3 linked regions of the Saccharomyces cerevisiae S288C genome follow. The gene in region 3 interacts genetically with the main gene of each other region. Each region holds a gene or a part of one and is shown on either strand. Other genes may lie near its edges.

The links.
Region 1: mutations in SAL1 (region 3) and GGC1 are lethal when combined (synthetic lethality), as found in Saccharomyces cerevisiae (one study listed by BioGRID).
Region 2: mutations in SAL1 (region 3) and MTG1 impair growth when combined (synthetic growth defect), as found in Saccharomyces cerevisiae (one study listed by BioGRID).

The regions. Positions count from the first base shown.
Region 1 is NC_001136.10:102,990-106,353, reverse strand, and holds GGC1 (Ggc1p), read left to right. Parts: upstream 1-1,802; coding exon 1,803-2,705; downstream 2,706-3,364. Other genes in the region: ASF2 (Asf2p), read left to right, coding at 1-1,437; YDL199C (uncharacterized protein), read left to right, coding at 3,001-3,364. UniProt on the Saccharomyces cerevisiae protein: Mitochondrial GTP/GDP transporter required for GTP uptake and GDP exit from mitochondria. Involved in mitochondrial iron transport and essential for mitochondrial genome maintenance.
Region 2 is NC_001145.3:458,873-462,342, reverse strand, and holds MTG1 (putative GTPase MTG1), read left to right. Parts: upstream 1-1,815; coding exon 1,816-2,919; downstream 2,920-3,470. Other genes in the region: ATP25 (Atp25p), read left to right, coding at 1-1,572; pyridoxine biosynthesis protein SNZ1, read right to left, coding at 3,042-3,470. UniProt on the Saccharomyces cerevisiae protein: Mitochondrial GTPase involved in assembly of the large ribosomal subunit. Plays a role in expression of the mitochondrial translational machinery.
Region 3 is NC_001146.8:469,277-473,035, forward strand, and holds SAL1 (Ca(2+)-binding ATP:ADP antiporter SAL1), read left to right. Parts: upstream 1-2,100; coding exon 2,101-3,585; downstream 3,586-3,759. Other genes in the region: MKT1 (Mkt1p), read left to right, coding at 1-347; END3 (End3p), read right to left, coding at 777-1,826. UniProt on the Saccharomyces cerevisiae protein: Calcium-dependent mitochondrial solute carrier.

The sequences.
Region 1 (3,364 bases), on a different chromosome or scaffold from region 3:
AAGTCATCTTTAAGGCAGATGAAAAGCAAAGTCAAGGAGCTTCAATCTTTAGTGAATCATTACCGAGAAAATGAAGCCGCTTTAGTGTCTAGCGCCAAGTTATTGTCCGGCGAGATCATAGGCTATGAAATTAAGATGGCTAGTTTACATGGAAAAATGAAAAGTATCCTGGATGAGAACAACGCGTTAAAGGAAACGCACAAGAGCTCTGCTGAAAAGAGAATCGAACTTGTTCGACTTCCCTCTAGCAAAGAAGAACGCAACTACGATGAATACACTTTGCTTGTTAATCTCAAGAAGGAAATCTGCGCCAAGTTACAGGACTACAAAAACGTCCAGAACACGGTGAACACCAAGTTAGATGAGATTCACACGTTCCATGAAAAATACTACGAAGGACTAGAACTAAGTTTAGACAGCAAGGTGTTTGATGCAGAAAGCTCAAAAGAGCTGGCCAAAGTGAGGCGAGAACTGAATAACGTGAGAAAAAATTCCGAAATCAAAGTGAATAACTTGAAAATGCAACTGCTACAAGCAACCAAATCACTGGAGCACTTGAAGAAGCAGGCTAAAGCAAAGGATGACTATCTTAAATGTATTCCTGAGCTGGTCGACAAAGCCAATCTCACGATGTTATCCTACAAGAAAAGCATCGCTAACCAGAGGGAGACTATCGAAGCATTACAAGCAGAACTATCGCAACAATCAGAAACAAAGGGGCAAATAGAAACAGAAACACAAAATCAAGTACAAATCCCCACCAATGTGACTTTGGTGGACCCCTTTGAGGAAAACAATCCAGAGGATTTGTTCGCTATCCAGGAACAGGAATTGCAAGATCTAAGGTTGCATAAGAAAATGGCCGATGAGAGGAGCCGAACTACCCACTTGCATTTAGAAAGAAAAAATAATACCATCAAGCTACTGCAGAGTTACGTGCAATCATTAATTCAACGGCTACCACCAGCCCAGCGCAAACACCATTTGGGCATATTCCAAAAACTTGGTAGCGAAAAATCGTGTCCACTCGCCCCCGCTGTGGCAAGTACATATGCGCCTCTTCTACTCTTATCCCAGCATTCGAACCATCAAGAAATTGACAACACCCCTCAACGGCTTCTATTAGCGGCTCCAGACGGGCAGTCATATTCCGAAAAGAGCACAACACTAAACCTTGATTACTCATCAAGGAAATCCTACTTATCAAGACTACAACCACCACATATAGCCAACCTGAAGTCTTTGACTCTGAAAACTCTGCCAAGGGTGCCCACGGACAGTCCTCAACTTCCTTCAAAAGACAAATCTCAAGAGACTGCAAAGAAAGACGATCGGCCAAAATTGGTGGCAAATGAACCAGTCACACTAGACACATCAACTCCTCCTGTGGCACAAAGCTTGGCGGATTCAAAGCATTGTTCAGGACTACATAAATAAATATAAATACGAAGCGGTAGAGATCACTACGGCATCCGCCTATCTGCAAAGGAAGCTCTATCGCAAACATACCACCGTTAATCTTCGCTGCCACAGTTTCCTTGTAGACCAATGGCATGTAGCACCGCCGCCACTGCCCGAAAAAAAAAGAAAATGAAAATTAAAGAACGATCGCAATTCTTGATAAAGCTCGAGAAAACAAAAACTCGTGAGTCACTGTGCATTTGCTGTCACATTTTCTACAAAGCGACGACATAGATATATAGAGGTGACTATATAAATCGTGTATCTCTTTTGATGGTTAATATTTAGCCTTTAGACATATATCAAACAAAGCATCTTCCAAAGTATTAGAAAAGGGAAATATGCCTCATACCGATAAGAAACAATCAGGATTAGCTCGTCTTTTGGGGTCCGCCTCTGCAGGCATAATGGAAATTGCCGTCTTCCATCCTGTGGACACCATTTCCAAAAGACTGATGTCCAACCACACCAAAATAACCTCTGGCCAGGAATTGAATCGTGTTATTTTTCGTGATCATTTCAGCGAACCTTTGGGCAAACGTTTGTTTACCTTGTTCCCGGGTCTCGGTTACGCTGCATCATACAAAGTTCTTCAAAGAGTGTATAAATATGGTGGTCAGCCTTTTGCTAACGAGTTTTTGAATAAGCACTACAAAAAGGATTTTGATAATCTTTTCGGTGAAAAGACTGGTAAGGCAATGAGATCCGCCGCTGCTGGATCTTTGATTGGTATTGGTGAAATTGTTCTTTTGCCGCTGGACGTGTTGAAGATTAAGAGACAGACCAATCCCGAATCGTTTAAAGGTAGAGGTTTCATCAAGATTTTGAGAGACGAAGGCCTGTTCAACTTATATAGGGGTTGGGGGTGGACGGCTGCCAGAAATGCTCCCGGTTCATTCGCCCTTTTTGGTGGTAATGCATTCGCCAAGGAGTATATCTTGGGTTTGAAAGATTATTCTCAAGCTACTTGGTCCCAAAACTTCATCTCCTCCATCGTCGGTGCTTGCTCCTCTCTGATCGTTTCTGCTCCATTAGATGTCATCAAGACAAGAATTCAAAATAGGAATTTTGATAATCCTGAAAGCGGGTTGAGAATCGTCAAAAACACTCTGAAAAATGAAGGTGTAACTGCGTTTTTCAAGGGCTTAACACCTAAATTACTAACAACGGGTCCAAAACTGGTTTTCTCATTTGCGTTAGCTCAATCTTTGATACCTAGATTCGATAACCTGTTGAGCAAATGAAGTACATGAACTTCTTGTCTATTTTCCTTGGCATTCAGCTTGTGAATATAAAATGTATAACAATATGAGTTTGTACTTTATGTATTATTTCCTGTTTTTTGACTAACTACTTTTTCCAATGTAATAGCTGTATCACCGTACCGAGGTAAGGACGTCAGCCGCGTAGTTCTAAAAAAATAAAGGATTGCTTTGAAGGGCTTCTGGGCCACTTCAGGACAAAAAGAATGAACATAAAGAAGAGCGCTAAATTTAATACTACAGAGGAACCTGTTACTATCTCAGCTTTTTCAAGAAAATGAAACCTCCGTTAAACATGTCACGTTCAAATAAACCACTTACTCAGGAAGCTAATAGTTCGGCGCATATTGATAGGGCACATCAGCTAGCACAGGATTTTAACAGTAAACAGGATGATACCGCACTAACTTCACTGCCCCACAAGAACCCCGACATATTCAGATTTGAGAACAACATCACAGCTCATAGCTCGCGTCGTGGTTCTCTATATAGAGACAGCGATGCTACTGTGGTTTTGCCGCTTTCTGAACATACCCCTAGATTATCAATGGATGATCCATACCGCCAATTACTACAACAGGCTGAAATCTCACAACTACGAAGTAAGAAAAAAAGGCATTCCAGTCGAGTTTTGCGTACTT
Region 2 (3,470 bases), on a different chromosome or scaffold from region 3:
ATGAACAAAGAATTGGAGATACCTAAAACCTCTCCAAACTCATTAAGAAAAATAGCAGACCTCCTAACTGGTAAACTTGGTCTGGATGACTTCCTGGTTTTCGATTTACGGAAGAAAAGCCCAAACTCTGTTTCAGCCGTTAATAAGTTGGGTGACTTCATGGTCATATGTACAGCAAGATCTACCAAACATTGTCATAAAAGTTTCTTAGAGTTGAACAAGTTTTTGAAGCACGAATTCTGTAGTAGTGCATACGTTGAAGGAAACTTTAATGAGCGACAAGAAAGTAGAAGAAAAAGAAGATTAGCAAGAAAATCCAACCTTAGTAAACTATTAGGTAGAAGCTCTGAATGCTCTGCAAAAGACTTAAATAGTGAGGCTTGGTATATGATTGATTGTCGTGTCGATGGTATTTTTGTAAATATTTTGACACAGAGAAGGCGTAATGAATTGAATTTAGAAGAGCTGTATGCACCTGAAAATGAGAAATCTAAGTTCCAAAATATAGATTCAGGTAATGTCCCTACTATTTCAGGGGTAAATGAAATTTCAAGCAACAATAATATTCTTTTAGGCCTAAGAAGACTGGCCCAGCAAAGGAGAAGGTATTCAACTATCAACCCAAACGGGCTAAGTAATTTAAGATACTTTCTACAAAAGGAAGACTTCAAAGGAGCCAATAAGATAATTCAGAGTAGTAGTGGTACTGAAACTCACAATATACGTACTTTGGAGCATGTTAAAAATACTTTAAAGGATTTGGTAGGACAAGAGAGGAAAGTAGATGTTGTTCAATGGAAGTCCTTATTTGACGAACATTCAACTTTTTTAACCATAAATCAATCGGCTGCATATTGGCCACTACGACTAGAATATGCGATACTTCTAAACAAAGCAGACCCACAATTTTATTCAGATCGTGTTTTCCTCAAGGATTATCTACTTTTAAAAAAATCGTTGGGGCAAGAGTTAATAAGGGAAGATCTAATCGCTCTTTTAGAAATGGTTTTGAAAACGCAGCATTCTAGTCATTCATACTTTAACCTAGTAAAGCAAAATAGGGTGATTATCAGAGCTTTGAACCTATTTAAAGGTCTACAAACAGAGGACGATGGCTCAGTTGTTTACGATGAAGTGGTAATATCCCTTCTTTTAAATTCCATGGTCGCGGATGAACGGGTAAAATTGAGATCACTCTACGAGACAATAGACCACATTTTCCAAACATTTGGAGATAAGTTGACTTCAGGCATGATTGTCTCAATATTGCAAAACTTGGCCAAAATCAAAGACTGGAATAAGCTACTTCAAGTCTGGGAAGCTATCACACCAACGGAAGGGGAAGGTCAGGACAAAAGGCCCTGGAATGAATTTATAAATGTTATCAATCAAAGCGGTGATAGTCACGTTATATCGAAAATCGTAAATAATGGTCATTTGCTATGGATCAGACGTTTAAATGTTAACGTAACTCCGGAGTTATGCAACTCCATTAAAGCGTTATTAAAAACCGCTGGAATGGAGAATTCCACATTGGAAGAATTCCTAGTCCGTGGAACAAACAATCAATAGTATTACCTGTATATAATATCTTAATCTCTCGTCGTTCGCCTTATTTATATTTGAATCAAATATTTAATTCTGCCACATGGTAGGTTCATTTTGCCGCAGATCAAAGAACACGGACCATCATGTCAAAAGTACACAATTTTTGTCTTTTCGAAACAATTTGGTTTAGTTATTAGGAGAAGAAAGAACGAATGATAATGCTCATTACTCAGACCTGAATGCAAAAAAGCCAAATCAAATACAGAAATGCACATAAATGTGAGAGGAACTAGGAAAATAATTTCCAACGTTTCATCCTTCACACCAAGATATGAATTTCCAAAGTACAGTATGCCTCTCACTGATTTCAAGGGACACCAAGTCAAAGCTCTTAAAACATTTGAAAAGTTGCTTCCTCAAATGAATATGATAATAGAACTACGTGATATACGTGCCCCGTTATCTACAAGGAATGTGGTTTTCGATCGAATAGCAAGAAAGGAACACGATGTGATGAAATTAGTGGTATACACTAGAAAGGATCTTATGCCCGGCAATAAGCCATATATAGGAAAGTTAAAGAATTGGCATGAAGAGCTGGGAGAAAAGTTTATTTTACTGGATTGCCGAAACAAAACTGACGTCAGGAATCTACTAAAAATACTAGAATGGCAAAATTACGAACTAGAAACAAATGGCGGATATCTACCTATGGGATACCGAGCATTGATTACTGGCATGCCAAATGTTGGAAAATCTACTTTAATAAATAGCTTGAGGACAATTTTTCACAATCAAGTGAATATGGGAAGAAAATTTAAGAAAGTAGCCAAAACTGGTGCAGAAGCTGGTGTTACTAGAGCCACAAGCGAGGTTATTAGAGTAACTTCACGGAATACGGAATCAAGAAATGAAATATACTTGATAGATACTCCAGGAATCGGTGTTCCCGGTCGCGTTTCAGATCATAATAGAATGCTAGGACTGGCGTTGTGTGGTAGTGTTAAAAATAACCTTGTAGATCCAATATTTCAAGCGGATTACCTTTTATACCTAATGAACTTGCAAAATTTGAACGATGGAAGAACAGAGCTTTACCCTGGAAGCACCAATTCTCCCACAAATGATATATATGATGTTTTAAGAAGGCTTCAAGTGAATAAAAGCCAAAATGAAAAATCAACGGCTATCGAGTGGACTAACAAATGGAGGTTGCATGGAAAGGGTATCATATTTGACCCTGAGGTACTGTTGAATAATGACGAGTTTTCTTATAAAAACTATGTAAATGATCAATTGGAAAAGTTAGGAGATCTTTCGTATGAGGGATTGTCTAACAAACTAAAAGGGAACCCCAATCAAGTATTCTAGTAAATAATATCCAGCATACATAAGCTTATCTAATAATTAGATCATTTTACAATGTGTACCGAGTAATACAAAGTTGAGGGGGGAAAAAGTGTTATAATGCTCAAAATACCTGTTCAAAGAAATCACCACCCAATTTCGGAAAGTCTTACTCCATTGGAAGCATGACTAATAGATTCGATTGATACACCACCCATTAACTCTCCTAAGTCACTAGATACTTCCAACAATTTGCTGGGATTGTCAAAGTGAGTGGTAGCCTCTACTACTGCAGTGGCCAACCTTACAGGATTAGATGATTTAAAAATTCCTGAGCCAACAAACACACCATCACAACCCAACTGCATTAACAATGCGGCATCGGCTGGCGTTGCTACACCACCTGCAGCAAAATTTACTACTGGCAACTTACCTTTTTCTAAAACATCTTTCAGCAAAGAAACTGGTACCCTCATTTCCTCAGCAACTTTTGCAATGTCATCTTCGCTCTTCAATTGTTGGCACGCCTTTATCTCCTCTGTAATTCTCCTTATATGCTTGACGGCTTCAGAGAC
Region 3 (3,759 bases):
ATAGATTATCACTTGATAACTTTGGTTGGGCAAGAAAGATTGTTAGATATTTACCGTTCAAATTAGATTCCCCAAATACTATAATGGCTATGATGTGGGAGTTTTTCTTACAAAAATATCTTCACAATGGTAATGCCAAGAATGATGCATTGTCTTTAGTTGCTACTGAATTCAACACTTACAAATCCACACCAAATCTTGATGAACAGTTTGTCGAATCCCATAGATTTCTTCTTGAAATTTCAAAAGTCATGCAGGAGCTAAATGCTGCGAAATTAATCGATGAAAACGTGTTTAAATTATTCACTAAAGCAGTTGAGTTTACTACAACAGCTCTATCTAGCTGAAGCGTGAGAATGAGTATGATGGAAATAGTGGAACTATTTAAAAAGCACCCAATAAAGAAAGATAGTTACTGTAAAGAGGTATATTATCATTATTCAGAGGGTTCAAGTACCATCATCAAGATTTAACACAAGCACAGTGAATAGCAACAATTAAAGAAAAAACTAATCAAAATCACGGTAGAAATAGGAGAAAAAAAGTAAAACAGAAACTAAGTCACTGTTTCTTTATATGACATATTCTATTATATAAATATGTAAAGAACGCTGAACAGTAAAAATTTTATGAAATTCCGGCAGAGAAGAAAAGGAAAAAATAAGTATACACCACACCGTTACTGGATAGATTGAAGTTCAAATCAAAAAAGTTTACAAGTGAAATAACAAACAGTAAATATTACACATTCATGTACATAAAATTAATTATCGGTGTCAATTGATTTCTGCTTGTAATGCTTGCAATTCGTGTCTCTTATTGTTCAAGTAATTCTCCAATACTTCAACCTGCTGTTCAATGTTATCCAAGTCATCAGTTATCGACCTGATGTTAATCCGCTTAGAAAGTTTTGAGCCTCCTTGAGTTTTTTCACTCTTTTTGTAGTTCAAAAGGCCTTCTAATTGTTCTCTCATGTTCGCAACTTGATCATCTGTCAGAGAAGCATATTTTTGCTTTATACTGTCTTCATTTGAAAGCACGTTACTGCCACTGCTATCGGAACTCGAGTTCTGCCCATTGTCACGCAGATTGTCCACTTCGTTAGCTTCTTCTTTTCTCTTTGTAGGAGGTTGAGAGGACCGTAAATCATAGCTCAGTTGTTTTTTATTGCACACCTCCGCCAGAGAATTTGGTAAACTTGCTGGAATTTCAGCACCCAAATCATTTCTTTGTCTTAAACAGTGAATAAAATAAAAAGTAGGATCTCTATCAATTGATGGCAAATTTTGTGGGTTAATTAAACTCCAAACCTTATTTAAATCTGTCTTACTGATGTTAAAAAATTTTGTGGAAAGTTTTGTTGACAGTTCGTTGAATGTAATAGTACCATCGGTTAGTTTTGCACAGCTATTATAAATTTTTTCATATTGATTCAAATCATCTGGAGACATGTACCAATCTACTTTGATTTCCTTCTTTGGAGGCAAGTCTGCGTTTTCTATTTGCTTGCGCTTCTTTCTTTCTTTGATTAGATTCACCTTACTCCCTGGAATCAACCAATCAGGCAATTCATCTGGAACAGAGCTAATGTTTTTATTAACCATATCAAATATTAATCTCATGCAAATTACAAATTCCTCAAAGTCTAAATTGTCGTCGTCATCAATATCAGCTAAAAACCAAATCTTGTTTAGAACCGATGAATCTAATTTGGAATTATAAAGAATTGGTAAAACCTGGTCATGGTTTACCTTATTCTCTATTGGTTTCAAACCCGAGAAGATTTGCCAGTATTTTTTTATTTCAAATTGTTCCAACTTGGGCATTTTTCAGAGATCCCTGTTATCTTTACCGGCCTTTCCAATACCCACTAACTCTATGGTTATATTACAATCGTCTGATTATAACAGGCAATTAACCTTGTGTTTCTGACGTTCTTTTCATTCATTCTTGATATGTTAAATCATAGGGGTCCTACACGATCGTCAAATATGATATTTAAAAAGTAATAAATAAAAATGCAGCTTTTTTATTAGCGATGGGAAATATTGAATATTTGAAGGGGCAAATAACGTTTAATTCAATCGAATGACGGTCTAAATGCTGCTGAAAAATTGCGAGACGGACAAGCAGCGAGATATACGGTATGCGTGTTTGTTCAAGGAACTTGATGTTAAGGGAAATGGTCAAGTTACTCTAGATAATCTGATAAGTGCTTTTGAGAAGAACGACCATCCGCTCAAGGGAAATGATGAGGCAATCAAAATGCTGTTTACTGCAATGGATGTTAACAAGGACTCTGTAGTTGATTTAAGCGATTTCAAGAAGTATGCTTCCAATGCCGAATCTCAAATTTGGAACGGCTTCCAGAGGATAGATTTAGATCATGACGGTAAGATTGGCATTAACGAAATAAATAGGTATTTGTCAGACCTCGACAACCAGAGCATATGTAATAATGAACTTAATCATGAACTTTCAAATGAAAAGATGAACAAATTCTCGAGGTTTTTTGAATGGGCGTTTCCAAAGAGAAAAGCCAACATTGCGCTACGAGGCCAGGCTAGCCACAAAAAGAATACTGATAATGATCGGTCAAAGAAAACCACCGACTCAGATTTATACGTTACATATGATCAATGGAGAGACTTTTTGCTGCTGGTACCGAGAAAGCAGGGTTCGAGACTTCATACTGCTTATTCCTATTTTTACCTATTCAACGAAGATGTCGATCTGTCCTCAGAGGGAGATGTTACTCTCATAAACGATTTCATTCGCGGGTTCGGGTTTTTTATTGCTGGTGGTATTTCAGGTGTTATTTCAAGGACTTGTACCGCGCCATTTGATAGACTGAAAGTGTTTCTCATCGCAAGAACGGATCTATCCTCGATCTTGTTAAATTCAAAAACAGATCTCCTTGCTAAAAACCCCAATGCTGACATAAACAAGATATCATCTCCATTAGCAAAGGCTGTCAAAAGCTTATATAGGCAAGGCGGGATAAAGGCTTTTTATGTTGGGAACGGTTTAAACGTCATCAAAGTTTTTCCAGAAAGTTCGATAAAGTTTGGTTCTTTCGAGGTCACCAAGAAAATAATGACCAAATTAGAAGGCTGCCGCGACACAAAAGATCTTTCAAAGTTCTCTACTTACATTGCTGGTGGTTTAGCTGGTATGGCAGCTCAGTTTTCCGTTTATCCTATAGATACTTTGAAATTCAGGGTGCAGTGCGCTCCTTTGGACACAAAGTTGAAGGGGAATAATTTGCTCTTTCAGACTGCAAAAGATATGTTTCGAGAGGGGGGGGGTCAGATTATTTTACAGAGGTGTCACAGTCGGTATAGTGGGCATATTTCCCTATGCTGCATTAGATTTGGGGACTTTTTCTGCCTTAAAAAAATGGTATATTGCCAAACAGGCAAAGACCCTGAACCTACCACAAGATCAGGTCACTCTAAGCAACCTGGTTGTACTTCCAATGGGTGCATTCAGTGGAACTGTAGGAGCTTCTGTTGTTTATCCAATCAATCTTTTAAGAACAAGACTACAAGCCCAAGGAACATATGCACATCCTTATGTGTATAACGGCTTTAAAGATGTTTTGTTAAAGACGCTAGAAAGGGAAGGTTATCAAGGTCTATTTAAAGGTCTAGTACCAACTTTAGCAAAAGTATGTCCAGCAGTTTCCATCAGCTATTTATGTTACGAAAATCTGAAAAAATTCATGAATCTGGAGTAGTGATAATAACATATGCATAT